Linked DNA regions of Tribolium castaneum. The protein of the gene in region 2 interacts with the protein of the main gene of each other region in a pairwise test. Links are inferred from orthologs where the notes say so. Each region holds a gene or a part of one and is shown on either strand. Other genes may lie near its edges.

Region 1 (6,098 bases), on a different chromosome or scaffold from region 2:
GAACTACCTGAAATATTTCCCCTGTATCTATTGAATTATTATTGGTCAAATCTACATACTGACAATCCCTAAATGTTCTTGGATATCCCTGTGGACATCTGAGACATCCCACATTGCAAGAAAAGCCTGACAACAGGACTGATTCAAGCCAGTTACTGCATACGGTTCATACGAAAAACTGTAATGATGTGCTATTGAGGCCATGCACATTTCAATGCAGATTAAAAAATCCTACAAACTTGTGTTCAACCCAAATTAAACTTAATACAGTAAGAATTACTTGCAACCGCGTTGATAAACTTAAGCCATCATCAGTTGAATCTTTGGAGTTTGGCGTAATTATATTTGTATACACTAGCATATCTATGAGCACACCTTGACTAGAAAACATTATTTTTAAGTAACTATTCTCCAGAAGACCTAAAGGAGGTGAAACGACAAAAAAAAGTCCGTATTTATTGCATTCTTGTTAAAAAAAACATAAAAACTATACGCCGTGTCACCTCCTAATATGGAGTAACTTAAAAACAACTTACAAAAAAGAGAAGAAAACAACAGCCTTAATGCACAAAAACTTTGGTAACGGTTTCATTGGTCTCAGTTCTGCTATGTTAGCTTTGTAAAACATGACCAAACAGTACATGGCCATAAACTGTGATATGTTGTTGACAGCTATCAGATATGGAAAAGCCACATTTCCTTTAAATTCGCCGTCACCATAAACCCCAGACACTTTACAGATGCTAACAAATTACACAATTAATAAAATTAAGTAAACACAGTTGAGTAAACATACAAAGAAATGGCAGTGGTTAGAGGCCTAACAACTGTATATTGGAGAATTCCGTGCTTGCAGATGTGAACGAATTCTCTATAAAATTGCATAAAGTTTATTTGACGTGACCTGTAGATTTGAAATTATGTTGGCAACAGCAGATTAGTTAATGCTGCCAACTTAATTTCGTACACATAGTATCACCTTCCCATTTCCCAGTCAGGTAAACAACATAGCGGAAAAATGTGTTTCACTTGAGGTTTCAACTCAAGACTTGCCTCAAGATCCATTTCCATGTTCAAATAATTCAGCAAAAATCTCATAAAGTTGTATATTACATAAGCTTCATAGCATTCTCTTAAACTGTCCACATAGACTGACTGCTTGGGATAAATAAGCCCCAACCACTGTAAGACATCATCACAGCCAAAACCTTAAATCTGGTTACAAGTCATAACTTACTGCATTGATGGCATAAATGGGAACCATCCACAATATCCTAAAGTACAATAATTGCGTCAATATCGAACCGAACTGATAAGCCGTCTATAAAACCAATCACATTTTTGATATTATTACCTGATGATATGTTTCTGTAACTTGGGCTGGGTGTAATGTATGACATGCTGAATGATTTCCCACAGAGACAAAGGAATAGCAACCCAAACGAAGATTCCAGCAATCAAAATTTCTTGGTCTCGCTTGTTAAACCCATCCTCCAAAGACTTCACTAAGAATAAAGGCACGAAAACAAGAGCTGCTAACGCGTAAATAATAATCACCAATGGTCTTATCCATAATCTCCAACGGGCCAAACAATTAAAACAAGTTTCGAACGGCATTTTCAAAAAACATTTTACATTTTTGACACTTTTTTGTTATGACAGATTTTTGACAATGGACTGGGCTGACATCTGACGGGCACTCGACGCAACGGCCACAGGGCCGGACTGTGCAATTTTTATTTTAGGGGGGAAAATGGCATTGTTTTGTATTGCAAATCTGGTTTTGACTATTTATAATTTACTACAACCCCACGTGGCCCTTCCCTGCCACAAAGGAAGTTACAATTAAGTAATCAAGCGAAATCAAGGGCATCCAACCTAGCGCCATCTATTCTCTACGCAACCAGCCTACTATGCGTTGGGCGTGTTGTTATCGTAATTATGCGCATGCGTAAACGAGTCTCGTTAATAGCCGTCATGAAGGGCGTTTGTGTTCGCGAGGTGGTGATTTTATAAAAATAACAGTTTTTTAACTTATGAATGTAAGTTTATCAGTGAGACCGACGATATTTAAGTAGTAACGATAACAGGTAAGTCATCGTTTTTTGCCGGTTGCTGCGGTTACCAATAATGTCGATAAATCTTAACCCAAGTCTCTTAAAATGGCCGAATAGGTGTAACCCAAACTTTACTAAACTGTTAAATAATTCAGTAGAACTGTATTGACTGGCTTTTTTCACTTTCAGTGATGATACCTTTATTCTGGTTGTTGAGCGAATTGGCCTTTTGTCGTTGATTCAAAGTTCAAAATGCATTTGTTGCTATGTCAGTGAACTTGGAGGTGGTTTACAAATGTAACCCAGTGCCGGGTTACTGCCCTTAAGGGACAGGTCAACTGTAATAATAGCCGCCCTACAAATTTATTAATTTTGTTAAATTTCAATATTATCTTTAGGTAATATTATGTAGCTTCTTTTGATCATACTTTTTCCAGGTCAAGAGTATGGTCATAATCCCAAAATAAATTGGTAAATGACTGAATGTCACATTATTTGATAAAGCTAATGATGGCCTATAAACTCTTGTGTCTTTCGGTGTCTATTAATATCTGTGATGCGTGCATGAGTCATATTTGTTGTAAATAGTATTAAATTTAAATTTTTACGTAATCATCAAGTTGTTACATAATAATAGTGCAAGTGTTTGTGTAGTAGGATTGTGTTCTTATCGCTACAACTCTTTCCTTTTAAACCTGCACATTTTTTAAACGTTTTATCACAGTTCAATAATAATGTTTGTGTAGTAACTGAGTAAATATGACTGTTCTAGTTTCCATAGTCTGACTGTTAGTTCAGACTGTGTTAATTAGCTGCCTTGTGTATAAAAATCACACATTTTTACTTCAATGAGACATGAAAAAAGACAAAGTTCACTTATTGCTCGTGCTTACGCATTTGCTTTTAATTTAATCTAACTAATGAGCGTTTAAAAACGTCATATTTCTGACAAAATTATGATCGCCTAATGATAGTCTTTAAAGACTTTAAAAGGACTTAGGTGTACTTGTACTTGTACTCTCTTGTATGCGTTTTACAAAAGATTGTAACATTGATTAGTTTAAATTTGAATTATGTTTTACTATATTATCAGTTTTTCGTATAATTTGGCATTGTCTTGTCAAATAACTTGCTGAATGATATAAACGTCATTCAATAATATTTGTCAGTTTGACAAACTGACTTTAAATTGAAATAACACTGTTAAAAAACACTGCTACCAAAAAAAAAATTGAAGTAGCTCTTGTTTTCGTAATTTAATCCAAACTTGAAATGCTTAATTCCATGATCTACCACAACACACCTGTTTTCTGATAGGATTACATATAATCATAAACAAATTGCGTCACACTTCCTTACCTAGCAAATATTGAAATATACATACAGGGTCAGTAAAATATATTGAACCATGCATTTTTTTAAATTCTTCGTGAGAGATAAATAATAATAGTATAATATCTGTTTCAAAACTAAAAACAACTGTCACTTTTCGCAATTGGTTTTCTCTTTAGATTCGTGAGTTTTCTTGGCATTAAATTTAACGCAGAATCACACGGAAGTACATCAGTTTAAATTTGTGATCTATTTGATCCTAAAAAATGTACATGCGTTGTTGCCACTTTTTCTACAGTTTTAAGTCAGATAGTAGTGTCCTCATGTTTTGAGAATGAAATATTGTTTTATTTTCAATGTCAACTTATCATGAACAGTTTTTACGACAAAAATGTTTTTATTAAAGATAATGTTATTTAAAAAATAGTTCAAAAACGCAAATTAGTTTTTAAGGCGACTACGTAATCAATATTTCATCAGTTAGCTTTTTTTCAAAAAATAAATAACTTAGGCAAACGAAACTTAGTTTTTTTGATTCACCTTATGGTAAAAATAGTACGTTTTACTTTAAAGACTGCTAAGTTGTAGCTAAGTAACAGCCAATCATATTGTGAAAACAACACTTCTTAATTATTTTACCTTTACTTATATAAAATTTTACTTAATTTTGAATTGGAGCCGTTTCTAAATCAATCAGCAGCTATGTAAAATTTAAGTAAACTACTGGCACTCCCAAAGAACATAATATTGTCTGTTTAGTTTAAAATCACTCAACGAAATAATTAACATTTATTACAGAATAGGTAAACCAATTGCTCATCTTCACATATATACACATAATTATTTGTAACATTACCAATTGGTCCAATTTAAAAAATAAGTCTTATTCAACTCTGTTCGTTGTTATTTTTAATAACTTTATTAAGGCAGAAAGAAGTTTTATTGGTGCTTACGTATTCCACAAGCACCCGATATTAATGATTACTTACAGGAAGCATTATGTATGTTTCCGCCGTTACTGCTTTTAGAGGGAAATTATTGATTTTAATGGAAGACGTGCCTTTAGAAGGTTACGCATTTTGTGTACAGAAATGTGAAACGAATATTTGTGCACAGACTTTTTGTTTTATAAGAACTGAATTAATGTAATTTCTATTTTAATTAATAAACTTCATCAATTACCACGATTTAAGTAATTTGCTAATTGGTGCTGTTATCACGCCAGTATGTTTTTAGGTCAAATAAATATTAATTTTGTCATGTTCTGACGTGGTGGTTACATTAATGTGTTAAATAAAAACTAATTTACATTTCGTCTTTTTTAGTTTAGTAGATGACTAGGAAATACTTCATGGGCAAACAGTTTTGTGACTTATAATTGAAATAACCTTCTTAATTTTCATTGTGCTGTAAGTTCGAAAATTATTTGCAAGGTTCCGCGATTTATTCTGAAATACTTGTACCATTTTTAATAATAAGCATGTGTTGTTTAAGATGATCTAATCCAGAAGCAATTTTAAATACATCTAATCCTAACCAGAAGCATTAATGTTATGTAAACAAATAAACTAACTTGTGGGTGGAACATGTACCGTAAACACAGTTGTCTGTAAGATTTTACGTGCATGGGTTTTTGATCGGTCTTATAACGGTTCAAATTCGTTGATGATAAATTTTTACCAAGCAAATATATCTTGTTTTACTACTTGGAATGGGGAATTTCTTGACAAAAAGTTACTATTTTCCGAACACAAATTGGCTCGAAAGTAGGTAATTTGTGTCAATATTGGTTTAATTAGTGTCTGGCGTCTCGTTTATGGAGCAACGTTGATGCTTAATTCAATTAGGTTATTAATTACTTACCTATTAAGGTATACATGTTTGAAGATGCCTCAACGTTACGTATCAGAGTTTTGTTTCAGTTTTTACGTACGATAAATTACGTACTAGCGTAATATTAGTGATGAATGGAAATGCTTGAATAGGGTGTGAGGATGGCGTGAATTTTTTATTACATTCAGGTATTACAGTTCGTTGAGCACTTTGCCCGCACATGCCGATTTTTGGTGTTTGAATGTACAGGCATCTGTTTTAATTTGTGCAAAGGCCAGGGTGTTAACCTTGATTAGAAAGTAGTGGCATGAATCCAATAGCTCTTATCTAATTAGTTGATTAAAATAGTAAAGTAGCCGTAATGGCTATTATTACTGTGGTAAAGGTCAAGCACCCTTCTATTTGTACCCACTGTGAGTATGTAATATTCGGTTTGATTGAAGGTAATTGGCATCGTCACTGGCTGGCAATGTTAACTATGTCATAGTGTTTGTTACATCATCGTGAATTATCTCGAGGTAATGTATTGCGAGAAAAATAGGTAATTGTACCACATCATTCACGTCCCCAAATGTGCGTTTTTTGTCATTTTAGGGCGCAAGAACCCATTCATTACTTGTAACTAAATATGAGTTACGTTCGTCATTTGTCAGGAAGTAGCCCAAATATGGCCTATTTGATGAAATCATCATTCACTTTTGTTTTATGGCGGTTTATCCTCGATTGTATTTTCTGTACATGTTTTCGTAACATATTCACTTATTTTTGTTACTGTAGTCATCTTATCAAACAATGGCAAATCAAATTAAATCTGGTGTTATGTAATAATCTGTGATCACGATCTGAAAAAATTAGTCGAAGCGAAGATGTTTTTAT
Region 2 (5,962 bases):
ATTTTTTGATATGTCAGGTCAATTACCTGTCCCAGCGAGTACCAGCGCCCAGCACAAAACCCAAATCACTTCACTTTTACCCATTTTGACCACAAAAAGTCGAAGAAATCGATTGTCGTCCAGTCCAGACACCACACAATGTGCTTTCTCACATGATTTAGATAACAACTGATTATTTTTGTATCAGATAATTGGGTTTGTTATGGTTTATTGTTGGAAATGAATTGGTGATGATGGCACGCTGAAGCGACTTAAAACCTGACGAATTATGAGTCATTTATTAGCTGAATTTTAAGTGAAGGTTGATTAGTCAGGTGTGCGGAAATCCCCCATATTTATCGATGCGGTAGAGTTAGAATACAACTCTCAATAAATTTTATACGTTTGTTACTTTCGATTTCATTGTTATTTTGAAGATGCGTTGTTTAAAAGTGATAGTGATAAAAGAATATCGATTTTTGATGGCACTTTTTATCAGATAAGAGGACAAAAATTATTAAAGGTGCACCGCGTCAATAAAGTCGTGCCACCAAACTGGTTTTCTGTTAAGGCTAATAATTAATTAATTAGCGGTTTCGCGATATTCAGTCCAGGAATTAAATTGTTAGATAACCTATTACAGGTTTCTATAACCGGTTTTTTTTTCGGTTCGCACTACGGAGGACTATGAGTTAGGAGACGAAACGAGATGGATTTTTTGGACCAAAAAAAATTGCTTAGAAAAAAACGTAGTTCGGAGAATAAAAAGGGCACAAATAGAAATAAAACACATTTGTACAAATTATTATTTATTCTTAATAAATTAATCCCCTTGAAAAAATCTAAAACAAGTCTAGAAAATGGTCACTGGCAGTGCTAGACTTCCCCGAAATTCGTATGTCCCGTACTTTGCGCATGCTCCCTTGCCTGCAATTGTCCATTAAGGAAAATATTACAATTCATGCATTTTAGCGTAAATTTGTTAACATCAGTGAATTGTCGACTCGACTTCGCCTCGCGCGCTAATTCCTGCGCCTCTTGTAAAACCTTATCATCATCAGTGGGAAAAATCGTCTGAATACTCGCCCCCTGAAACGAATCAAATAATTTTTTGATAACCCCCTGAGTAAGGAAATTACATCGGACGATTCCAAAAAAAGGGGGTCATAGTGTATACCATCAAACATTAGAAAAATTCGAAGTGTGTAATGCTGGTCTTCCCCGAACCGGTTGATAATAGCGTTGATCGTGTCTACGACGGCAATTTCGAACCCATAGTGATTCGAGAGAATGGCCAACTCGATGGCGCCCCCCCATGACTTGTCGTCCTGGATCCAGGCGCAATACTCACGGTTGGGTTTCCCCAAAATCGCCTCGGAAAACATCTCGGGGTCGCTGGCCACCGTTTCGGCAATCACTTGTCTCATGTAGGGGGCTGCCGTGCCACTCTCGTCCAGTTTCCCGTTCAGGGCGAAGTAAACACTACTGAAAAGACACGAGTTGTCGGCCGGCACCACCTTCTTCATCAGAATCCCCGGACAGTCGACACTTTCACTGATATGGCCCCGCAAGGGGGGCGCAGTCTCCCGGGCCTTCTCCTCCAAAATCAGGGTATCGCCCGACTTGAGACCACTGCGACTCAACTCGAGACCATCGTCCCCCAAGGCGAACGCCTTCGGGGGGAACCCTGACAACACATGGAGCCTGTCCTCGGGGATCTGCGATATGGAGCACAACTGGCGCTTCAAATCTTTGATCGTGTGCTCAGGTGTTAGGTTTTTGATCACTTGTTGCCCCGTTTTGGTTTTGACGCGCAAAGCGAACGACATGGTGCTCTCTGGGGGCTAATAACAATGACAGTTGGGAGTGACAAGTGACAGGAGAAGTGAGGTTAAGGGCGAAATTAAGGGCTTGGGGCCCGAATTTAGACGATTGGGGCGAAAGGGGGCAACACTTGGGCGCTTTATCACCGAGATAACATTTCAAAAGGGTTAAATAAACACAGGGATTTGGGGGGGCTAGGGACTTTCGCCGACTGACGCGAGATACCAACCACACTTTTTTAATTATTTCAAGACAGGAAAAAATTATCACGTTTTAGATCAGTCTCGTGTCACGATTAATACGTTCTAAGTACGGTTCTGATTATTTTTAATCCCCAATTTTTGTTTTTTCTCGACTAACAGTTATGCCAACTCAAGGACGGCCATTTTTATAACCAAAAATCAAGCCGTTTAAAAAGGGCCGTTTTTTGCATTAGTGTCCCAAAATAATTACTTCTTATCTAATTAGTGACTCAATAGTGTTGACCCAAGCATCATTATCGTGCTTTTAGTGGTATTGTTATAAAATTTAAGTTTTTGTCAAAAGTGAGGTTAGGTTTTTAACTAAAGAGTGCAAAAATGCCGCGTATAATGATAAAGGGGGGCGTTTGGCGCAACACCGAGGATGAGATCCTCAAAGCGGCGGTAATGAAATATGGGAAAAACCAGTGGTCTCGAATTGCCTCGCTCCTTCACCGCAAATCGGCCAAACAGTGTAAAGCGCGTTGGTTCGAATGGTTGGACCCCAGTATTAAAAAAACGGAATGGTCGCGGGAAGAGGACGAAAAGTTGCTACATTTGGCCAAGTTAATGCCGACTCAGTGGCGCACGATAGCCCCCATAATCGGGCGAACGGCCGCTCAGTGTTTGGAGCGCTACGAGTACCTCCTGGATCAGGCACAGAAGAAGGAAGAAGGGGAGGATGTCACGGACGACCCCCGGAAGCTCAAACCGGGGGAAATTGACCCCAATCCGGAAACCAAGCCTGCGAGGCCCGACCCCAAAGACATGGACGAGGATGGTAAGAGCTAACAAATGGGGTACATTTTTCTCAGTTTCAAAACACGAATTCAAAAATGCAATAAAAATTTCAAAACCGCAAAAGAATCACCCTGTATAGTATACTATAACGCAAAAAGGTTGGCACGCGTGTTTGTCGTTGCAGAGCTGGAGATGTTGTCCGAGGCGCGCGCCAGGCTTGCCAACACCCAGGGCAAAAAAGCGAAGCGAAAAGCGCGCGAAAAGCAGCTGGAAGAAGCGCGTCGATTGGCAGCACTGCAAAAAAGGCGCGAGCTTCGAGCTGCCGGCATCGAAGTGAATTCGCGTCGTAAGAAAAAACGCGGTGTTGACTACAATGAGGAAATCCCCTTCGAAAAACGTCCAGCGATTGGTTTTTACGACACTTCCACCGAAATTGTTGATCCAATGGCGCCCGATTTTCACAAAATGCGTCAACAACATCTCGACGGTGAACTGCGAAGCGAACAAGAAGAACGCGAACGTCGCAAAGATAAACAAAAATTAAAACAAAGAAAAGAAAATGATATTCCACAAGCGATGCTACAGAATCAAGAACCGGCGAAAAAACGCTCGAAATTGGTACTTCCCGAGCCGCAAATTAGCGATCTGGAGTTGCAACAAGTCGTAAAGTTGGGTAAAGCGAGTGAAGTTGCACGTGAAGTTGCAGCAGAGAGTGGAATCGAGTCGACTGATACGTTGTTCAATGATTATACGGTGGCGGCGCCACAAGCGGCAGCGGTGACTCCCCGAACTCCGGCACCGCAAACTGATCGGATACTTCAAGAAGCGCAAAATGTCATGGCTTTGACGCATGTGGATACCCCACTCAAAGGTAAAAAAAAAATCACAAAAAAATAAATAAATAATGACGTAACTCGAAGAGGAGCGAAAAAATCGAAAAATTTTATTCTTGAAAAAAAATTGCAATTTTGTAGTAGTTTACCGTCCACCAATCTGTTTTTTCAAAAAGTGAATAGTTTCGCCAAAAAATACTAAATTGCAAAGTTTGCCTCACCCGCTATATTGCTCAAAAATATCCCGAAATTAAGAACTTTTGTAAGTTCTTGATTTTTAAAAATGTGCGTAATAATAATTAAGAAAGGTACAAATAAATTAAAAAAAAATTTTTTTTTTCTTATAATACGAGCTAAATATAGAGATACAGTTAAAAGTTTTACTTTGTCACCTACCAATAAAAAAACTATTTAAGTCACAATAACTGAATACCCTGCCAAGAGCATGCCTATGTGACTTAAAATTGTTTGAAGATTCCAAATCTGTCTTTATTGGATGAAATATCAATTTTCTTGTTCATAATATGTAAAAAAAATAAAAAATAAAAAAATGAAATTGACATTAAATGACTTGTAGTTCTTTCTTTTTATTACTTTATTTGTCTCAATAACTTAATAACCAATAAAAAAATTTCTAGGTGGGTTACTACCTAAAAAATACCATAACTTCAAAACGAACGAAAAAATTAAAAAACTTTATACTTTGAAAAAAGTCCCATTTTTATAGTAGTGTACCATCCACTAATAACTTTTCCCAAAAAGTTAATAGTTTAGTCGCAAAACGCCAAACTGCAAACTTTGCCTCACCTTGTATATCTCTTTCAAAAGGGGGCCGAAACACGCCACTTCACAACTCGGATTTTTCGGGCGTTTTACCACAAGCCCTCACCATAGCCACTCCCAATACGGTCCTGGCGACCCCTTTCGGGGCCCAAACCCCCGGTTTCATGACACCGCAGGGCCCCCAAGGCAGTTTTACGCCTTCAGTTCGTGACAAACTCAATATAAATGAGGAAAACACCGAAATGGTGGCACAAACTCCAGCCGAACAGCGTTCGCTCCAAAACAATTTAAAAGAACAACTAAGACTAGGCTTAAGTAGTTTACCGACACCGAAGAACGACTACGAAATCGTCGTTCCCGAACAGGAAGAAGAGGAAAAAGAAGAAGAAAAAACGCCAAATATTGTCGAAGATCAGGCAGATGTTGATGCGCGAGCGCTTGAAGAAGCGAAAATTCGGGCGGCTCAGGAGTTAGCCCTGCGGTCGCAGGTGATTCAAAGGGGGCTGCCGCGCCCCCACGATGTAAATTTGGCCGTTTTGCGGCCGAATCACGAGTCGCATTCGTTGACCGAGCTGCAGAAAGCCGAGGAATTGATCAAGTGTGAGATGGTGACAATGTTGCAATTTGACAATTTGAAAAACCCTAACCAAGTCAAGCGCTCGGCTTTGGCTCAGGCCCAGCAGTTGGCATTCCTGGAACAGCACCCGTATGACGATTTCAAATCGGATGATTTAAAACTTGCCAAACAATTATTGAAACGTGAAATGGAAATTGTAAAGTATGGAATGGGCCATGGGGAATTACCTTTGGAGGCATACACCCAAGTTTGGGAGGAGTGTCTGGGACAAGTGCTTTTTGTTCCAAATTTAAACAAATACACGAGGGCTAATCTAGTGTCGAAAAAAGAGCGGTTAGAATCGGCGGAAAAAAGACTGGAACAGAACCGCTCACATATGGCGCGCGAGGCGAAAAAGGCGGCAAAAATGGAGAAAAAACTAAAGATTTTGACAGGGGGTTATCAATCGAGGGCGCAAGCCCTTATCAAACAATTGGCCGATTATTACGATCAGATCGATCAAGCGAATTTGGAGTTGAATACGTTCAAGTTTTTGCAAGAGCAGGAGAAGGCGGCGCTCCCGAGGCGCATACAGGTATTTTTTTACAATTGTTGTTTTTTTTTGTTATTATTTGTGTTCCAGTCGTTAACCGAGGATGTTAACCGGCAAATGGAGCGGGAGAAAGGGTTGCAAGGACGTTACGGCGAGTTGCAGGGACAAATCAAGGAGTTGCAAAGCGAGTTGGAGAAGTTGCAACAGGAGATTGAAGTTGCAAGGGGGGAGCAGGAGGGGGAGGCTGAGTGATTTGATGAATAAATACTGATTTGAGTGTTGGTTGTTTTATTTATTTGGACCCCCTGATAAAAAATTTAAGCTATGCCACTGGTTAAGTCACAAAATGATATTAATAATATTAATCGGTGAAAATTTTGGACATATTAACATATAAAGCGATGATGAAGTTATGAAACTGCGCTCTCTGGTGACAGTAACGGAACTATCAAAG
Region 3 (6,286 bases), on a different chromosome or scaffold from region 2:
CACTAACGGGATCAAAATCCCTAAAATAAGTAATCAAAACAAAGTTGGTTACTACTGTAAAAGCTCACCCGCCATTGCAACCGGGTCTAGCAACTGACGATCGGTGTGTAAGGGGTTCAAAGTCATGGTACCTTTACCCATATGGACAAGACCCTGCGCAATTCTTACCATAAACAATTGGAACGGGTTCTTGGTATGGTATAAAGCTAGTTGGCGTAGAGTGACCGCAAGGCGGGCATTGTTAGTGCCCGCCCCCACATAACCCAGCCCAAAAATGGCGTTGCAAGCAACGTCGTCGTCAATATCGTGTGAATATTTCGTCAAAACGTTGATTATAGTGGGCTGGGGATCGCTAACCGAAGTCAAGGCGATAGCCAATGGGACGGCTTTGCGGACCGAAGGTTCGCCATAACGTGATATTTGACCGAAAATTCTTTGAATCATTTCGGTCCCGAGCTCCTCACCCTTGGAAATGGCGGCCACGGCCAAAACAGCTATCGCTTTCCCCATATGATAATCCCATTCGTTCTTTTTCTTATCTTTCGAACCTTTCGTTTCGGTCGTTTCGGGAACTTCGACCTTTTCCTCGACCAATCGCAACAATTCCTGGATTATTAACACATCCCCACTTCCGGCGTAAGCGCACATTTGTAGCATGGTCTGGAAGATGGTCCGAAACGGCTCCTCAAACACATCCGCCACAATCGTCGGAACCTCAATCGCATCCTTGGTTCCGAAATATGCAAGTGCCACGCCCAAACCAGCCAATAACATGAAGGGACTTTTCAGAACGTCCAATCCGTTCGATTCAATCATTTTCGTCAAGATGATGTCCGATAATTCGTTATTATTTCTCCCGAGACTGATCAAACCGCATGCAAGACTCGCCACGCCCAAAGTTTTGACCAATTTCGAGCTCTGTATCACCGGTAGGAGGAGATTCAATACGTCGCTCCGCCCACTCCCGGCGTACGCCAATCCGATGCCTAGCACCGCCCCAACTTGCAACTCCTCACTGCCACTCCCCACGTAATCGCCCAGTAGGGCAAGGGCCGGGTCGCAGTCGTTTCGAATGCGACAATTGACAATACCAAGGGCTAGTAACGCGCCAGCTTTGATATTATCATCACTGGTGTAGAGATATTTATCAATTGGGGTCAAACCGCCATCTACGTCCCATAAGTATAGTAAACCCAGAGCTGCAGTGGCACTTAACATGCCAACATCTTTGTTTCGATAAATCCATTTATTGCCATCGTCGGTTGTCAAAAGTTTATCAGTGCCAAAACCAGCATTGACGAAACCGTTGACGAAGGACGAGGCCAGATTTTGACGGGCACTGTCCAGTTTCTCGCCGAGGACGCTCTGACGCAGCGTTACGGGCTCAAGCCAGGTTTTGTACACCTCTTCGGGCGATTTCGGCTCCATTATATCAAGCTAAAGCGAGAAAAATTTGAATTTGGCGCCGAAACACAAGGCGGGAAATTTGAATTTCTTCCGGAAATTTCGCATTTTGACCCCAAAATACAACATCACAAGACGGAAAATGGCAAATTTAAGCCAAATGAATAAAAATTGTCACTAACCTCACGTGCAAAACTTAAAAAATAGTGGCTCAAGTGACTATTCTCGAGAATGCTCCTCACGTCGTCATCGTCGAGATTAAATTCGATTGGGTAGAGGTGTCGGGCGCATATGAAGGCCATTTGATACAGTGTGATCCTAAAAATGAGTGAAAAATTGTTTGAAACGCCGACTAGATTACTTGTCAGTGCACGTATTGAAGAGTTTCTCGATCAAAGCCGAGTCTTTGATTTGAATCGCGACGACCAAACAGCGACAATGCTCCTGAAAAAGATAATAGAACTGCGAAATAAGCTTCAGTATTTTTTTGCTCTCGAGATCGTCCACATATTTTGCACAGGAGGCTAGGTACAAGCAAATGGGCTTGTAGTTTTCCCTCGTGACGTAATCGAAGAGCATGTACATCTGGTTGATTTCCATTAAAAGGTCGCAGCCTTGTATCTCGTCGTGGTGGCTGCAGTTAAACCTCATGATCTGCTTGACAAGGGGGCTCAGAGTCTTGTAGTTGTTCTCGCACATGACCCACTGTTTGACGATTTCGATCTCCAGCTGGCGGATGTATTCATGCCCCCAATCGCCGATGTTCTCCATCGTGCCTTGGAGACAGTACTTGAGACAGTCGAAGTCGCGTTTCACGCTCCCGTCGATAGCCCCCATGGACAGGACGGAGACGACATCGGAGAGATTTTTTTTCAGGAGGGGGTCCTTCATCGAGTCGCATTTGTTGCGCAGGGCCCCGTAAAAAGGGGCCAGGTATTTGAGGGGCTTTGGGACGGACGTCATGGACGAGGTTGAGGTCCGTATTAAGTACTTTAACATGTCGAGGGACACATTCACTAGCTTCGATTCGTCACCCTGTATATATTTACGTGGTTTTTTATTATTTTGATGATGGAAAAACTCACCGTAATTCGGTCCACGAGACCCTTTAGCTCCACTTGTAATTCCTTATCATCGTCCGACTAAAATTTGGGCCCCGTTTAAAGTATTAAATAAATAGGGGATTTTCTTACGTCATCTTTGGGAATCACCGGTTTTCGGATTGCTGCAGCTGCCATTTCGGCGAATTTTTGCAAAAATGGGCAAAAGGAGCGACCGTTTCAAATGACATGCAAAAATTTCAATTTGACGTTTTGGCGTTTCCGTTTCCGCCTAAAAGCTCAATAAAAATTGAAAATTAAATTATGGATAAGTTTGATATGCCTTGTGACGGTCCTAAAGGTCATTCGGATTGTTTTTCTTAATTTATGCCGTAAGGTTTAATTTTTTTGCAGATATTTTTTAATTCGTAAGCTTGCGCCATCTTCTGGCCTAATAGGTTAGTGTTTGGTAACGTACCCTAACCTTATTTAGTTTTTGCCGCTTGTTTCATAAGTGCGTCTTAAGCCCCTTTTGGGTAAATAGCCCCAATTTAGTGTTTGTTGGTGTCCAGAAATTGAAGAAATTGCTCAAATTACCGATGTTTTTACGATTAATGGACGGCGGTAAGTCCGAATGTCGCTTTAGAACTTTTTAAAATCCAGATTTTTTATGTGGGTAAAGTCCCCATTTTGATGTGTTTATGAGTTTGTTTAATTTTATTTGTAAACAATTAGCTCGGGGCCGTCTAGTATAGCAATTACCACGGCCACTTTGCTCCTACAATTACATGATTACGTCATAAAAATTGAATTTTAACTAAAAGAAGACAGCTTTTATTAACAAACCAATGAATTAAATCACTATTATAACTAATTTTCACTTTTTTATGCTTCTACTATGTTTACGTGCCTCCCTGAGAAATCCCCACTTGTGTTGTCCGTCTACAGGGTGTCCGTTTTTCGAGCTCCACTATGGGGATCTCAGTTGTGATAAGAGTTACGAGATCGGTTAAATTAGGGCAAAGTTGCACGTTGTTATGCTGAACAAGTATCTGAAAGAAAATTTGGTGTGCCATTTTTGGTTTTTGAATTATTGGGAAAAATAAAAAATTACTAATTTTCGTTTTTATTTTTTTAAGAAAAAAAACTAAAAGAACTAGATGTTTTTAAGTAGGAAATCCTTTAGGCACTTTTTACAAGAAACCTAAATCTGTCATCGTCTTTTCCAAGGCGTTCTTGATGTCAGAGTTACAACACTCAACTTTTAACTCTGACATCAAGAACGCTTTGGAAAATACGATGACCTTGTAAAAAAGTTCCCGAAGAAGGTCCTACTTAAAAACGTCTAGTACTTTTGGTTTTTGCTTGAAAAAATAGAAACGGAAATGACAAATTTCCGTTTTCTTCCAATAGCTCAAAAACTAAAAATGACAACATTTTCTTGCACATAATTGTTCAGCATAAAAATGCGCAACTTAGCCCTAATTTCACCAAACTTGTATCTCTTACAATAACTGAGATCCCCATGGTGGACATCCTGTATATAAAAACTTCGGAAGGGTTCAGTAAAAGTCGTCGCACAATTGAATAATTTATTACTATTTTTGGAAGTTGGGCGTTTTGTAAAACAGTGTGATAATAATAACAAAACAAAAATGGAATAAAGGTATTATAAAAGAAATACCCATCAGTTCTATTTTTTTTTTTTTTCGTTACAAATACATATATCAGTGAACAGTGGTCTACCTGAGTGTAAAAAAATACAATTTCTTTGTGATATACATTGAAAAATCGTCTACCTATAAGGCTTCGAATACATTATTGTGTAAATAGAATTAACTAGCACTTTCTTTGGTAGGCTTATACTTAAATAATTTTATGACTAGTTTGATAATATCACTCAGAAAAAAATGAACTGAAAGTGAAATAAAGCAGAAATTATTGTCAAGTGAATAATGGAATTGTCGGTTTGCGCTCACTCCTGCTTTGAATCGTTTTAGGAACTTGATAAATGCTGTTTGACAATAATTTCCTCACAACGAAACCTTAATAAATCATTCGAATTTACTCATTTCAGTCTTTGGTCTAGAATATTAAATAAATATAAATATGTACAAAAAAAATTATATACAGAGCGGCCTCTCCGAGATTTATTTTTGGATTAGTATTGTAAAACGGGTCTGGAATGGCTATGTGGGCAATAATATCGTTTCAGTGCTTTTGATAAATAAATCTCCGAGAGTTCCCGTAACCTATACAAAGGGGGCTATACCCCGAACCTATTATACACATACTGACTGTTGACCCCGTCCCCCAAATTCTCCACCGCCTCCACCGTGGGGTTCATGACGTTGAAAAGAATTGCGAAAATCGTGCAGGCGGCGTACACCCCCAGCGCCACCCACCACAGCAGCTGCTCGTGCAACTTCTGCTCGAAATTCTTCAAGACAAGCAGGCCGATGGTGAGCCCCGCCAGGGCCCCCGTCAGGTGCGCCACGTACGACACCGGCGGCCCCATCGCTTCGGCGGCATACCGCGAATAGATGGCGTACCCCACGTCGCAGGAGGCTGAAATAACAATTGTCAGTTGAATTTTGGTGTTGTGATAGTAGTGTCTAAAATAAAGAAGTTACAATTTGGATCAGGATCTCCTGTAATTTATTGTAGCAACGTTTTCTTTGTACACAATAAAGTTTTACAACACATTAGGCGTACAACTGGTTATTTATCAAACAAAACTTGTGCATAAAGTGATACTGAGGAGTTCCTGCATTTTTCGAAAAACTTCGAAAGTGCAACTACATGGATTGGAAGTACCTATCCAGTAGAAATTCATTTAATTAATTGTGAACTGATGGATTTTGTGGATGGAACAAAGAAGGATGAAAAGCTGGAGAAGAAGGCTTTGGCAGCAATTGTGTTTCTTGTCAAGTCACATATATTTACGGAAGTTAGAGAATAGAAAACTGAAAAAGAAGTTTAGGATAGACTGAAGAAAATTTATGAATATCAAGGTTTCCCAAGAGTGGCAACTTTAACAGAAAAATTAGTTTTGATTCGTGACGCTGATAGTAAGGGAATGAATGATTATTTAAATCAGGAAATGAAAATTGCCCAACACTTGAAGGCAATAGACAGTGAAATAAAGGATAGTGTTTTAGTTGCTCTTAATCTACCAGAACTTTTTAAGCCATTAATTATGACACTAGAGAACTACAATACAGAATTAGCTACAGATTTAGTGAAAGGGAGATTACTACTATAAGCTGCTAAATGTAAAAAATGAAGGAAGAGAATCAGCTTAAGTAATGAAGTGGCATTATCAAAAATTCAAGGATTTTATTGATAAAAATGGTATTTCATCACACAAAACAGGATTTAAAGAAACATGTTTTAATAGCAAGAAGAAAGATCATAAAATCTAAAAATTGCTATTCTTTAAGGAGGAATTTCAAAGAAACATCAAAATTTAAAATCCAAGACATTGGAGTGACTTCAGTTTTATTGTATGTTAAAGGTAAGAGGATTGAAACGCCAAGTTGATTATGCTCCGGGTTTGAAATTTAATTTAATTTCATGAAAATAACTAGGGAAAATTGAAGACAATTGTTGAAAATCAAAGATGTGAGATTCGAGAAAAGAAGACAGGAAGACTAATAGCAGTTGCAACAACAAGAGATGGAGAGTTATATAAATTGGCTTATGTAAAAAAAATATACTTCACTCAAAAAAACTTAAAATAAAAGTAATTTTGAAATTAAAGCAGTCAAGTTTTGAAGAGGCTCGTAAAAATGGTTCATGATATGAAATTTGAAGATATTAAGGGGAATGCAACATAAGAA
Region 4 (6,173 bases), about 3.5 Mb from region 2:
TTACGTAAAGGGGGAATTACTTGTAAAGACTCAAAACAACATGATAGTTTAATTCGCCCGCAGTTTGTGACCCCAAATCAATTAAACGGTCAATCACCGCCAACTCTTCCTCATTCACCAACTGTAAAAAAATTAAATTACTGAATGTGTAATTATTAAAAGTGACAAACTTTGACGTCTTCTTCCAATACAAGGCCAACTTCGACCCTCCACCACGGCTCAATGTGTATGTCTTTGGGGACGGGTGGTAGGAGCCCCCTTACATTTTTTTTCCCAAACAAGCGCCCTCTATTCGACCTCGACTTATTCATCAATTCGATGTATTCATTTCTGCCAATCCCCAATAACCTCAAACCTGAAAAACACCAAATGAGGGAAACACGCCCCAAAATAAATTCGCGGGAAGTACAATCTGCTGCCGTAAAGTTCGGAAGAGTATCGTAACTTTTCTCAGCTTGCATCAATTTCTCAACCACTGAAATGTAGTAATTGAACGGCGTTATCCGCAAACCTTTGACAATCATATCGGCCAAGTGGTAGGGGAATAACATGAGTCTCTCTTTACTGTAAGCCACCACACGTTCGTAGTAACGTTTCTCATCTCGGACGATGTGTCGTACTGGAACAAAGACAATCAAGGGGGCTCACACACACCCCAAAGACACTCACCTAAATTTCCGCGATAGCGCAACTGGTTTTTAATACTGAACGAGACCACGTAGCGTTCGTAGTCTTTGACCGAATTGTTTAAAATCTGGAAAACGGGGGGTCATTTGTCGCAACTAAAAACCAAACTACCTGTTTGATATGTGCGGGGAGTTGAGACCATGGCACGTTTTTACGGATATTTTCCTCGATTTCGGCATTCATGCTGGTAAATGGGTTAATTTGTTGTTGATAAACCCATTTGACAAGTGACAGTCAGTAATGACAGGTGTCACAATTGCACAGTTTTGCTGTTTTTACGCGATTTTGGCATGAATTGGGCAAGAAAGCGTGTTTTTTTTTTAAATAAATTAATGTAATGCTGCTTAATTAATTTTTTTGCGTTGTTTAATCAAGAAAAAGTGTGAGCTGGCAGGGCTACCAACAAGTGTCTCTAACCACACACTTTTTGACACTGGCATGTGCAAAAAGTGGGGTTGGACCAGTTTGTAAAAAGTGCTAATAATCATGGAATTGGGGGGCGAATTGTCCCAAAAACACGTCCTGTGTCGCTTCAAGTCCGATTCAGGCGAAATCACCGGCGACATCATCGACTTGCCCTTGTCTTGTACTGTGTCCCAGTTGACTGAAATTTGCAATGCTCTCCTCGAAACCACAAATTCGTACATTTTTTACGCCAACGACACCGAAATCACACATTCGCTCGAAAAAACCTTAAACTTGTCGGACTTGAACACCGAAACCGTCATCGACATCCTCTACCAGCAACAAGCCGTGTTCCGAGTGCGTCCCGTGACAAGATGTACAAGTTCAATGCCAGGCCATGCCGAAGCTGTCATTTCCGTGAGTTTTTCCCCCGATGGTAGACACCTAGCGAGTGGTTCTGGCGATACAACCGTTCGGTTCTGGGACGTGGACACCCAGACACCTTTTAAGACATGTAAAGGGCACACGAACTGGGTGTTGTGCATTGCGTGGGCCCCCAATGGGCGTAAACTAGCTTCGGCGTGTAAAGACGGCAAGGTGGTGGTATGGAACCCCGAAAATGGGGCCCAGATTGGTAAAACTCTAATTGGGCATAAATCATGGGTCACGGCCCTGAGTTGGGAACCCTACCACCAAAACGCCGAGTGTCGCTTTCTAGCCTCGGCGAGTAAAGATTGTGACGTCAGGATTTGGGATACGGTCCTGTGTTCTTGTACTAGGGTTATTTCTGGGCATTTGAAAAGTGTGACTGTGGTCAAGTGGGGCGGTCTGGGGCTCCTTTATACGGCTTCGCAGGACCGGACTGTTAAAGTTTGGAGGGCTAAAGACGGTGTGTTGTGTCGTACGTTAGAAGGGCACGGTCATTGGGTCAACACTTTGGCCCTCAACACTGATTATATCCTCAAATTGGGGGCGTTTGACCCAGTCAAAGACACCCAAATCCAATCACAAGACTTCGTCCTGCGTCGTTACAACGAAATCGTTAACCCTATCGGTGATGAAAGACTCGTCTCGGGCTCCGATGATTTCACTTTGTTTTTGTGGGCCCCCTCAAAAGACAAGAAGCCGTTAAATCGGCTCACGGGGCACCAACAATTAGTTAACGATGTGAAATTTTCACCAGATGGTCGCATTTTTGCCTCGGCTTCGTTTGATAAGAGTATTAAATTATGGGAGGCCAAAAGTGGTAAATTTATTTGTACGTTAAGGGGGCACGTACAGGCTGTTTATGTGATTTCGTTTTCGGCCGATTCTAGACTTTTAGTGAGTGGAAGTGCCGATTCAACACTCAAATTGTGGAATTTGAGGGAGAAGAAATTGGAAATTGATCTGCCAGGTCATGGGGATGAGGTCTATGCGCTTGATTGGGCCTCAGATGGCTCCAAAGTGGCCTCGGGGGGTAAAGACAAAGTCTTAAAGTTGTGGCAAAATTAAATGCAATAAAATTTTGTAATTTTTCTCGAATTTTATTTAAAAAAAAAACAGAAAACTGTAATTGTGCGCGACATGTGGCGTCACCAGTGCAAATCTACAAATCCAATAATACAAAAACTGGCTTGCGGAGTTTAATTACTTACGTAAATTATTGTTTAATCTATATTACAACAAACAAACACTCGATCAAAATTTAAGGCACGATATTTCACAATTTGTGTGGTCCAAACATAACCACAAAAAATCGTAAGGTTATGTTCGTGTTTGTTTGTTGTGCTACAAGTTGGTAAAAGTCGCCCCTGAGATGGAAACCAAGCCGCAAAAGATGCCCAAAGTGGCCAAGGTACGTTATTTACCTTCTCTTTCAACTTAATAACTAACTAAAATAATTTTCCAGGTGAAAAATAAAGCCCCTGCTGAGATCCAAATCACAGCCGAGCAGCTCCTTCGCGAGGCAAAAGAGCGCGACCTTGAGATTCTCCCTCCGCCCCCTAAGCAAAAAATCTCCGATCCAGCTGAACTTGCCGACTACCAACTCAGACGCCGTAAACAATTCGAAGACAACATACGAAAAAATCGAACTGTTATCTCCAATTGGATTAAATATGCCCATTGGGAAGAATCGCAAAAGGAAATCCAACGAGCTCGTTCGATATTTGAACGTGCCTTGGATGTGGACCATCGTAACGTTACCATTTGGTTAAAATACACTGAAATGGAGATGCGAAACCGTCAAGTGAACCATGCTAGAAATTTATGGGACAGAGCCGTCACGATTTTGCCCAGAATCAACCAGTTTTGGTACAAATACACCTACATGGAGGAGATGTTGGAGAATGTGGCTGGGGCCAGAGCTGTCTTTGAACGCTGGATGGAGTGGCAGCCGGAGGAACAAGCCTGGCAAACGTACATCAATTTTGAGTTAAGATACAAAGAAATCGACCGTGCGCGAGAAATCTACGAACGCTTTGTTATAACACATCCCGAAGTCAAACACTGGATTAAATACGCCCGATTTGAAGAAAATCACGGTTTTATCAACTCGGCCCGCTTGATTTACGAACGAGCTGTACATTTTTACGGTGATGACCATTTGGACGAAAAATTGTATATTGCATTTGCACGGTTTGAAGAAAACCAAAAAGAACATGACCGTGCTCGCGTTATCTACAAGTATGCCTTGGACCATCTCCCCAAAGAACAAGCGAAAGAGCTGTACAAAGCCTACACCATACATGAGAAAAAGTACGGCGATCGTTCCGGTATTGAAGATGTGATTGTTTCGAAACGTAAGTTTCAATACGAACAAGAGATACTCGAAAATCCGACCAATTACGACGCTTGGTTTGACTATTTGAGACTGGTGGAGGGGGAAGGGGACCTTGAGACGTCACGTGAGACGTATGAGCGGGCCATAGCCAACGTGCCACCAACGAAAAATAAACAATACTGGAGGCGTTATATTTACTTGTGGATTAATTACGCCCTGTTTGAGGAAATCGAAGCGGTTGATTATGAAAGAACACGTCAGGTTTATAAAGCTTGCCTTGACTTGATCCCCCATAAGTTATTCACGTTTAGTAAAATTTGGTTGTTGTTTGCACAGTTTGAAATCAGGCGGAAGAATCTGATTGGTGCTCGTAAAATTTTGGGGACTGCCATTGGTAAATGCCCACGTGATAAATTGTTCCGTGGGTATATTGATATAGAGATACAGTTGCGTGAGTTTGACCGGTGTCGTATTTTGTACGGGAAATATCTAGAGTTTGGTCCGGAAAATTGTGTGACTTGGATGAAATTTGCCGAGTTGGAGACACTTTTGGGGGATTTTGAGCGTGCTAGGGCCATTTATGAGTTGGCAATCGCTCAGCCAAGGCTAGACATGCCTGAGCTGCTCTGGAAGGCCTATATCGATTTTGAGATCGGGCAAGAAGAGTGGGCTAATGCCCGACAATTGTACGAAAGATTGTTGGAGAGGACAAGTCATGTGAAAGTTTGGTTGTCGTATGCGAAGTTTGAGTTGAGTTGTGAGTCGGATATGAATATTAGTTTGGCAAGGCGTGTTTATGAGCGGGCTAATGAGAGTTTGAAGAGTTATGGGGAGAAGGAGGCGAGGGTTTTGTTATTGGAGAATTGGAAGGAGTTTGAAAGTGCAAATGGGAGCGAGGAGACGAAGGAGAAAGTTGAAGGGAAAATGCCAAGGAGGATTAAGAAGAGAAGGAAGGTTATTGATGAGGATGGTGTTGAGCAAGGATGGGAGGAGATCTTTGATTATATATTCCCTGAGGATGAGGCCAGTAAACCCAATTTGAAGTTATTGGCAGCTGCCAAAAGCTGGAAGAAGCAGAAGCAAACGGAAGAACCGGAACCGTGATTTTGAGAAAATAGAATTAAGGTTTAAATTTTGTTTTATTCCCCTTTTGTCACTTATCCAAGCGCTATCTGGTCAACGATTTTGCACTGCAACAATTAATTTTTTGTGGGCAAATGATAAGATAATAAAAAAATCGATACTTTATTCATTTAAATACATTAAAAGCGAGTGAGTTTTGAGACTTAACAGCCGCCATAATCCAGCTTTGATGAACACAAGACACACGTATGCACACATTCCTCTACGTTTTCCAAAAATTGGGGTTTTGTTGCAACCGTCGTTCAAAATTCGTGTACCAGTTCTGTACTGTAGCCAACGGAACGTACGTGGCCGTGGGATCTGGGACCATTTGCGGTTGCGTCACCGTATAACTCAGCACAAAATTCATAAAATTCTCCAACATTTTCTGAGCAAACGTGACATTATTACTGGGATTATTCGCCGATTCGATTTCCCGAATATTCGCCAGCGGCTCAATAGCGATCCCTATTTGCGCATTGTGTACGATGTGACTTTGCCCGAATAAAATATTCATCGAGTCGCCCATCTCTTCGAGTTTTTTCAGTGATGAGATTTTGAAAATTGCCGACGGTTTTATGTTGGAAATGTGGCCGAGGGGCTGCCAGTTGGGGGGCGCGTGTGGGTCAGGCCAACTGAAGTAGACTTGACCGGCGGTGCCTTCGGGGAACGGTATAGCCCCTGTTAGGAACACCACGATGTGGTTTATACTGTCGGCTTCTGGGATTGTGGTTATGAATTGTGTCTCGGAAATCGGCTGGAATTCGGTTTGGACCTGCAATTAATTCAATAAAATATGTGATGTCTTGGGAATGGTGGGGCCCACCGGACGCCCTGATACTATCAAACCGAACATTGCCATCACGAAGCTTCTAGAACATTTCTCAAATTTGTTAGGTTAGGGACGCCACAACCACAAAATCCCTAAAAAATAAGTCACCAAATTTAATAACGTTTCTGTTTGATTTAGCAAATTATAGCGAAATTTCATCAAAAAAGCTTGATGGGTTTCACTTCGGACAAGAACAAGGACTGGCATTAAATTAATTAAAACATTTATTTCTTAAAAAAAATCACTAGATCATAGTGACCAACATGGTCACCAACTGTTAGAAACGTCAAACATGTCACGACGGGAGTGCAATTGTATGTGAAAAAAGTGTTTTTTTGGATTAAAAACTCCGTCAGTTCTTTT
Region 5 (6,216 bases), on a different chromosome or scaffold from region 2:
TTCCTTCTTGTAAACAACAATGATCAAAATAATAACTGCAATTGTGGGGTAAGTTTTTGTTGGTTTGCGGTTGACATAGCAAGTAATGTGAGAACTATAAGTATATACCCTATATATACTCAAAATTGACGCCCATGCTTTTAGGATTTGCTTCAGAAGACTAAAACAAATCGAAAGTTAAGAGTGAAAAATTGTCCAATTGTCCTTCGTTATCGAGTTATTGATAAGTATCTAAAATTTAAAATTTGTACATTAAATTTTATTAAAAGCGAATTTACCAAATTTGTTGTCACAAAGTATGCTATAATGCGATTTGGAAACTTTTCCGTGTAGGCCCTAGTCTCAGCAGTGGCATTGCCATCATACAAACATCTTACTTATAACCGAGCTTTTAACATATCGTCAAAATTTCGAATACACTAATAAAGTGGTATCTTATCATTTAACACATACAAAAACGAAGGAAATTAATAATACTCTTTACTAGACACAGTTATTCAAAGAATTTTAATATCGCTAACATCAACTAATCAATTATGTTGCACAAATAATTGGAAAGACAGCTAAAGCTTATTATTTACATTTTTATCAATAACTCTAAAACGAACAATTGGAAAATTTTTTACTCTTAACTTTCGATTTGTATTAATACCCTAAATCAAACTGCCATAGCACAGGCGTCAATTTTGAGACTTTTACTTGTTAGAACGTAATCTATTCAACATTTTTCAAACGAGCGTAAATGGTTGGCTTGGTTAAACGAAACTGATCGAAGAAATTTACATCACTAACAATTTCAAAATAATTTTTCTTTTTCTATAAATTTTTTGTCTTCGCAGTTCGGAAGAAGATAATGAATTAGAAGAAAAAATGAACACTTTCTTAATTTTGTGCAATTCAAAAAACTGACAAATTTAACGTTTGTTAAAGTTGCTTTTGTAATTTGCCGCCGTCTTTACGTCTTTACCTAATCATTATTTGACGAAATATTTTACGAAAATTTTTAGGTTGAAACGCATTTTAAAAATTGAAGTCACTTTTAAAAGTTTAAGTTACTTTAAAATGATTTATGAAACGATCCTACTTCAAGTTATTTCGATATAAATTTGGGATTATGACGTCATAACCGTCTCTCGAGCATTATTTGGTCCAATTTTAAGATCAAATAGTTTTTGATCACTGCCAAAGAATATCGAAATGAAGACACAATTTCTGAGATATTTTCGCAAAGTGCAAGACAAAATTTAGAACAGGTAGGAGTTTGGAAAGTAGTTATTTTTTTGATTTTGTAGAAGATATGTGAAAAATATGTGATTAATAAAAGGTTTCTGTGATGAGAGGCGGTTGTGACGTTAAGGCTTCACTTATTTTTTGCTGCAGAAAATTTTGAAAAAAGTCTCTATAGTTCCAATTTCCGTTAAAAGATAAATTAGGTAAAATACAATGTGTTCAAAAATGGTGGTTCATCAAGTTAACTATTTTAAATTTAAATTAAGCGGCACATTACGTTCAAATTTCATATGTGACTTGATGAACGAAGTTTTTTGAGCACATTTTATAAGTTGCCACTGCCTTCAATTTTAGTCATAGACCACTCTGATCAGAATTCGAAATATGTTATTTACTCCGTTTCAGGTTCGATAACGATATGGGATTTGCGCCAAAACACATATCCTGTGAATGTGTTGGATGCTCATGAGGGAGGCGTTATGGAAATACACTTCCATCCAGATCATCCTGACCAGCTATTCACTTGTTCCACTGATGGGGATGTTTGGCATTGGTCGCCTAAATGTGGCAGTGCCTCTAGTTTGCTGAATGGGGAGAATGTTTGGTTGGCATCCGAGGCTATCAAAAATAAGTTGGATGTTTTTACGCTCATGCCTAAATTGCACAAACCAATCAATAGTCTGGATGTTAACAGAAATAAGGTTCTTTGTGGGTGCGATAACGAGGCGGTTTATTTAATCAATGGAGTTAATGTTTTTAAGTAATTGTTTTGTACAAAGTTTCTAATAAAAAGTTGAACCACTATTTGGTTGTTGGCATATACGTGATAGCTGGAGGTCGTTATAATGGGTTCGTTATAACCAGACTCTACTGTATTATATCTTTGTTGATCATATCATCAGCATTTTACTAAGGTGTTTTAGGTTAAAACTTAGAAATAAGAGCAATATATACTACCACTTGTTAAAAAACACCACAATTTCACATTTTGTATATTTTTAATTTCGCATTTGTTGGAATTCGCTTTTGACCGACAATAATAACTAACCTCATCTACTTAACCTAACATTTCTCAACGTTATATTTTCGTTCAAAGCGCCGCAATGCCTGTCTCTAGCGATGTTGTTCGTAAAGAAACCCCCATGGAAATTATATTTGTACGTATCCCGTTTCAAAATTAGTCCAAAATAACTGCGAAAATTCCAGACAGACGAAGACCTCCCTTACGAAGAAGAGATCCTCCGCAACCCCTACTCTGTGAAGCACTGGCTGCGCTACATTGAGCACAAGAAGAAGGCCCCGAAGCACGGCGTTAACATAATTTACGAGCGGGCCCTTAAAGAGCTCCCCGGCTCTTACAAACTTTGGTACAACTACTTACGCACTCGCCGCCTCCAGGTGAAAAACCGCTGCATCACAGACCCCGCATTCGAGGAAGTCAACAACGCTTTTGAGCGCTCCCTTGTTTTCATGCACAAAATGCCGCGAATTTGGATGGATTATTGCAGTTTCCTGACCGATCAGTGCAAGATAACGCGGACTCGGAAGGTTTTCGACCGGGCTTTGAGGGCGCTCCCGGTGACCCAACACCACCGGATTTGGCCCCTTTACCTCACATTCGTCAAAAAGCACGACATTTCCGAGACCGCTGTGCGCATTTTTCGCCGGTATTTGAAGCTCAGTCCGGAGAATGCGGAGGAATACGTTGAGTATTTGACCGAAGTTGGGCGTTTGGACGAAGCCGCCGTTGTGTTGGCTAAGATTGTCAATGATGAGAATTTCGTGTCACAGCACGGGAAGTCCAAACACCAGCTCTGGAACGAGTTGTGCGAGTTGATTTCGAAAAATCCCGAAGAGGTGCATTCGTTGAATGTTGATGCGATTATCAGGGGCGGCTTGAGGCGGTACACTGATCAGTTGGGGCATTTGTGGAACTCTCTGGCTACGTATTATGTCAGGAGCGGGTTGTTTGAACGGGCGCGGGATATTTACGAGGAGGCGATTCAGACGGTTACAACTGTGCGGGATTTTACGCAAGTCTTTGACGCCTATGCACAGTTTGAGGAGTTGACGTTGAGTAAACGGATGGAGGAGGTGGCGCAAAAGCCCAATCAGACTGAAGATGATGATATTGAGTTGGAGTTGAGGCTGGCGAGGTTTGAGAATTTGATGGAGAGGAGGCTGTTGCTGTTGAATTCGGTTCTCTTGAGGCAGAATCCGCATAATGTGCAGGAGTGGCACAAGCGAGTGCAGCTGTATGAAGGTACGTTTGTAAATTAATATCATACAATTTTACTCGTATTTATTACTAAAATATCGGAAATTTTACCTTGTAAAAGTTGTACGATTTATGGTCACTTGTCTTTGAAAGTAATAGAAATTTAATTGTATTTTTCTCAATTTTTATGAATCGAAGATCGTCGATGTCACATGCAATTGTAAGCAGTTTAAAACTTGCATATATATCGGGCACTTGCTCATCTACCATTATTTATCTACTGCCTGTTTTATTGTAAAAAAAACCTATACGGACTCTTCAAATACATACAGGGCGTCTCAAAAATGGCGAATTCCGAGTTTATAGCATTGTAGAGAATCACTTCAGTAGTCCAAATGTAGAAAAAAAAGTTTTGGGTCTTCCCCACTTCTAATTAATAAAAAATTAAAAAACATTCTAAGGGTGGATAATCGTCGGCTAACTTTATCCTGGGGAGAAATTTTAAAAAATACATTGTTGTAACAATTGTGACCATAGTAATTATACCAAAAATACCATATCCGGAGTTTATTTCACGATTGTAAAATCCACCCCAAAATGGATTGAATTTAAAAAAAAAAAGACTTTTCAACTTAGTTGATTTAAGAAGAGAATAATTTAATTTTGGCTACTACAGTGATTTTTCAGCTTATTTTGATAAAACTGGATTCTAACAAGTATATTTTTACTGTACAGGGTAGTGCAATTTGGAAGAGGTTTTTAGAAAACAACGAGTGACACATTCTCAAATCCGTTTTTTTGAGAAAATAAAATTGATAAAATCCGCATCCCGCTATCGTCTTTTGTTTTAGACTTATAATTATAAACAAAACAATCTTAAAAAATTCATACAGGGTGGCTCTGGGGTGCGTAATCGGTCTATAAATTTTTTATTATTTGAAATATTGCCATGTTGTTTTCACTGTCCGATAGATCGACTTAAAGTCCACAAACTAAAAATAATTTTATTGTACACACGGTGTTGTATACAGGGTGGTGAACCAAAGTTACATTTTTTTAAATGAAACATCCTACATATTTTTGCACAATTGGATGCTACGCAAAAAAATGTAACTTTATATAAACTATAATGAGTCTATCTTTTTTTGTTTCGGAATTATTCAACTTTTCGGTACCAATTTTTGAAAAATCACTGCGAAGTAGTGCGAAGTCGCCTATGAATAATTTTCGAAAAATTTGTAATAGAAAAACTCAGAATACCTTGTAGTTTTAGCAAATAGACGACTTTTAGTTAAAGCACATAGATTATATACAGAGTGTGCCAAAACGCAAAAAGTTGAATAACTCATTTTTGTCAAATGGAACACCAAATATTTATTTACACTAACGATAACATTTTTCATAAGCTTTCTAATGATATGCGGATTGTATAGCAAAGGACTAGGCACACTTCTTATGGGAATTTAAGGACCACTCAAATTGAGTAATTTTTATATTTATATTTTTTAGTGTTCAAAAAATTTTTTTTTTTTTTATTTATTTTATTATTAATTTTTGATGAGCCAAATTGATTTATGTATCAAGTAATAATTAGATTACTAATAGTTACTAATTACTAATAAGTAATAATTAGTCACATTAGTACATAGCAAAAAATAAATAATCATTTAACTTAACAGGATAACAAATTTTATTGTAATAAAATAATTTTTTTGAAAAATTTCGAAAAATATTTTAAAATTGCTATGAAGATTCCATATCGTTAAAAAGCATATCAAAAATGCTATGGATTCATGAAAAAAAATACAGTGTTCCATTTGAAAAAAAATGACTTTTTCAATTTTTTGCCTTTCGGCACACTCACAGGTATTCTAAATTTTTGTTACAAATTTACCGGAAAATATTAATCGGCGACTTTGCAGTGATTTTTTAAAAATTGTTTTTTTTTATAACGAAATGTAAAATAATTCCAAAACGAAAAAAGATAGATCCAAAATAGTTTATATAAAGTTAAAGTTTTTTGCGTAGATTATGAAAAATATATTACCCAACAAGTATATTTATAATTTAATGATGTTTTTAACACTAAATAATCTAAAAACAGTATAATAAATTTATTAAATGTTATGAAGACTGTGCTAAAAGACTGAAAAGTTTTCTCTAATAAAACAACTAACAGAATGCCTTTTTTTGCAACTAAGCCGTTAAACGTTGAAACCAAATATTTTAGGGAGTAAAATGCAAAATCATTATTGGGAGCTATTACATACATAATACTTAAGATTTTATTTATTTATTGTTGGAATTCACAAACTGACTTTGTCTTGATTTCTTGCGGACCATTCCCGAATTTTGCTTTTACACTCTTCACTCAACGGATTGCCACTTAAATAAGTGGCTTTTTTGGCTTTAAAAATTTTATCTAAATCACCGTCCAGACACGTAATCTTGTTATATGCAAGGTTGAGAGCCCGGATAAATTCAGCATCTGCAAGATAATCCTCATGCCATTGTTCTATTTCATTCTGAGACAGATCCAAGGTATCGACTAGTTTCCATCCTTTGAAATTTTCAGCTGTAATTTTCTTAATTTTGTTGCTGTTTAACTTAACCCACTGTTCTTTTTGGTTGTAAATATTTTTAAATGCTTGGACTGGAAGTTGCTCGATGAGATTATTGGAAAGAAATAGGCGATAGATGTTCGGACAATTACGCAACCAGTTGTTGTTATATTGCGCCAATTTATTACTCGACAAAATTAAATTTGC

Evidence for each region.
Region 1: the proteins of Cdc5 (region 2) and beta-Spec interact in binary tests that used the Homo sapiens proteins (3 or more experiments, as listed by UniProt). The link is inferred for Tribolium castaneum from reciprocal best matches to the Homo sapiens genes CDC5L and SPTBN1.
Region 3: the proteins of Cdc5 (region 2) and Exo70 interact in a two-hybrid assay, tested with the Homo sapiens proteins (2 studies listed by BioGRID and IntAct). The link is inferred for Tribolium castaneum from reciprocal best matches to the Homo sapiens genes CDC5L and EXOC7.
Region 4: the proteins of Cdc5 (region 2) and crn interact in a two-hybrid assay, tested with the Homo sapiens proteins (2 studies listed by IntAct). The link is inferred for Tribolium castaneum from reciprocal best matches to the Homo sapiens genes CDC5L and CRNKL1.
Region 5: the proteins of Cdc5 (region 2) and fand interact in a two-hybrid assay, tested with the Homo sapiens proteins (2 studies listed by BioGRID and IntAct, with this or other methods). The link is inferred for Tribolium castaneum from reciprocal best matches to the Homo sapiens genes CDC5L and XAB2.

The regions. Positions count from the first base shown.
Region 1 is NC_087402.1:8,235,034-8,241,131, reverse strand, and holds the start of beta-Spec (spectrin beta chain), read left to right. Parts: upstream 1-1,932; 5' UTR 1,933-2,090; intron 2,091-6,098. Other genes in the region: transmembrane protein 184C, read right to left, coding at 1-7, 60-231, 281-380, 537-743, 797-871, 980-1,182, 1,238-1,274, 1,355-1,617. UniProt on the Homo sapiens protein: Fodrin, which seems to be involved in secretion, interacts with calmodulin in a calcium-dependent manner and is thus candidate for the calcium-dependent movement of the cytoskeleton at the membrane.
Region 2 is NC_087400.1:3,566,176-3,572,137, reverse strand, and holds Cdc5 (cell division cycle 5-like protein), read left to right. Parts: upstream 1-2,176; 5' UTR 2,177-2,381; coding exon 2,382-2,823; intron 2,824-2,967; coding exon 2,968-3,654; intron 3,655-4,444; coding exon 4,445-5,550; intron 5,551-5,598; coding exon 5,599-5,760; 3' UTR 5,761-5,785; downstream 5,786-5,962. Other genes in the region: uncharacterized protein LOC103314450, read right to left, coding at 27-84; Yod1 (ubiquitin thioesterase Otu1), read right to left, coding at 856-1,068, 1,119-1,808.
Region 3 is NC_087399.1:7,104,740-7,111,025, forward strand, and holds the start of Exo70 (exocyst complex component 7), read left to right. Parts: upstream 1-2,909; 5' UTR 2,910-3,068; intron 3,069-4,022; exon of another isoform or gene 4,023-4,710; coding exon of another isoform or gene 4,711-5,012; intron 5,013-6,286. Other genes in the region: 26S proteasome non-ATPase regulatory subunit 2, read right to left, coding at 1-20, 69-1,437, 1,587-1,722, 1,766-2,439, 2,490-2,546, 2,598-2,642; stet (uncharacterized protein LOC657740), read right to left, coding at 4,711-5,012. UniProt on the Homo sapiens protein: Component of the exocyst complex involved in the docking of exocytic vesicles with fusion sites on the plasma membrane.
Region 4 is NC_087400.1:95,707-101,879, reverse strand, and holds crn (protein crooked neck), read left to right. Parts: upstream 1-2,792; 5' UTR 2,793-2,890; coding exon 2,891-2,929; intron 2,930-2,983; coding exon 2,984-4,960; 3' UTR 4,961-4,988; downstream 4,989-6,173. Other genes in the region: protein FAM91A1, read right to left, coding at 21-121, 171-355, 410-619, 670-754, 799-870; Nle (notchless), read left to right, coding at 1,174-2,586; protein OPI10 homolog, read right to left, coding at 5,202-5,753, 5,805-5,840. UniProt on the Homo sapiens protein: Involved in pre-mRNA splicing process. As a component of the minor spliceosome, involved in the splicing of U12-type introns in pre-mRNAs.
Region 5 is NC_087398.1:14,036,479-14,042,694, reverse strand, and holds the start of fand (pre-mRNA-splicing factor syf1 homolog), read left to right. Parts: upstream 1-2,212; 5' UTR 2,213-2,333; coding exon 2,334-2,387; intron 2,388-2,436; coding exon 2,437-3,493; intron 3,494-6,216. Other genes in the region: nucleoporin Nup43, read left to right, coding at 1,636-1,994. UniProt on the Homo sapiens protein: Involved in pre-mRNA splicing as component of the spliceosome. Involved in transcription-coupled repair (TCR), transcription and pre-mRNA splicing.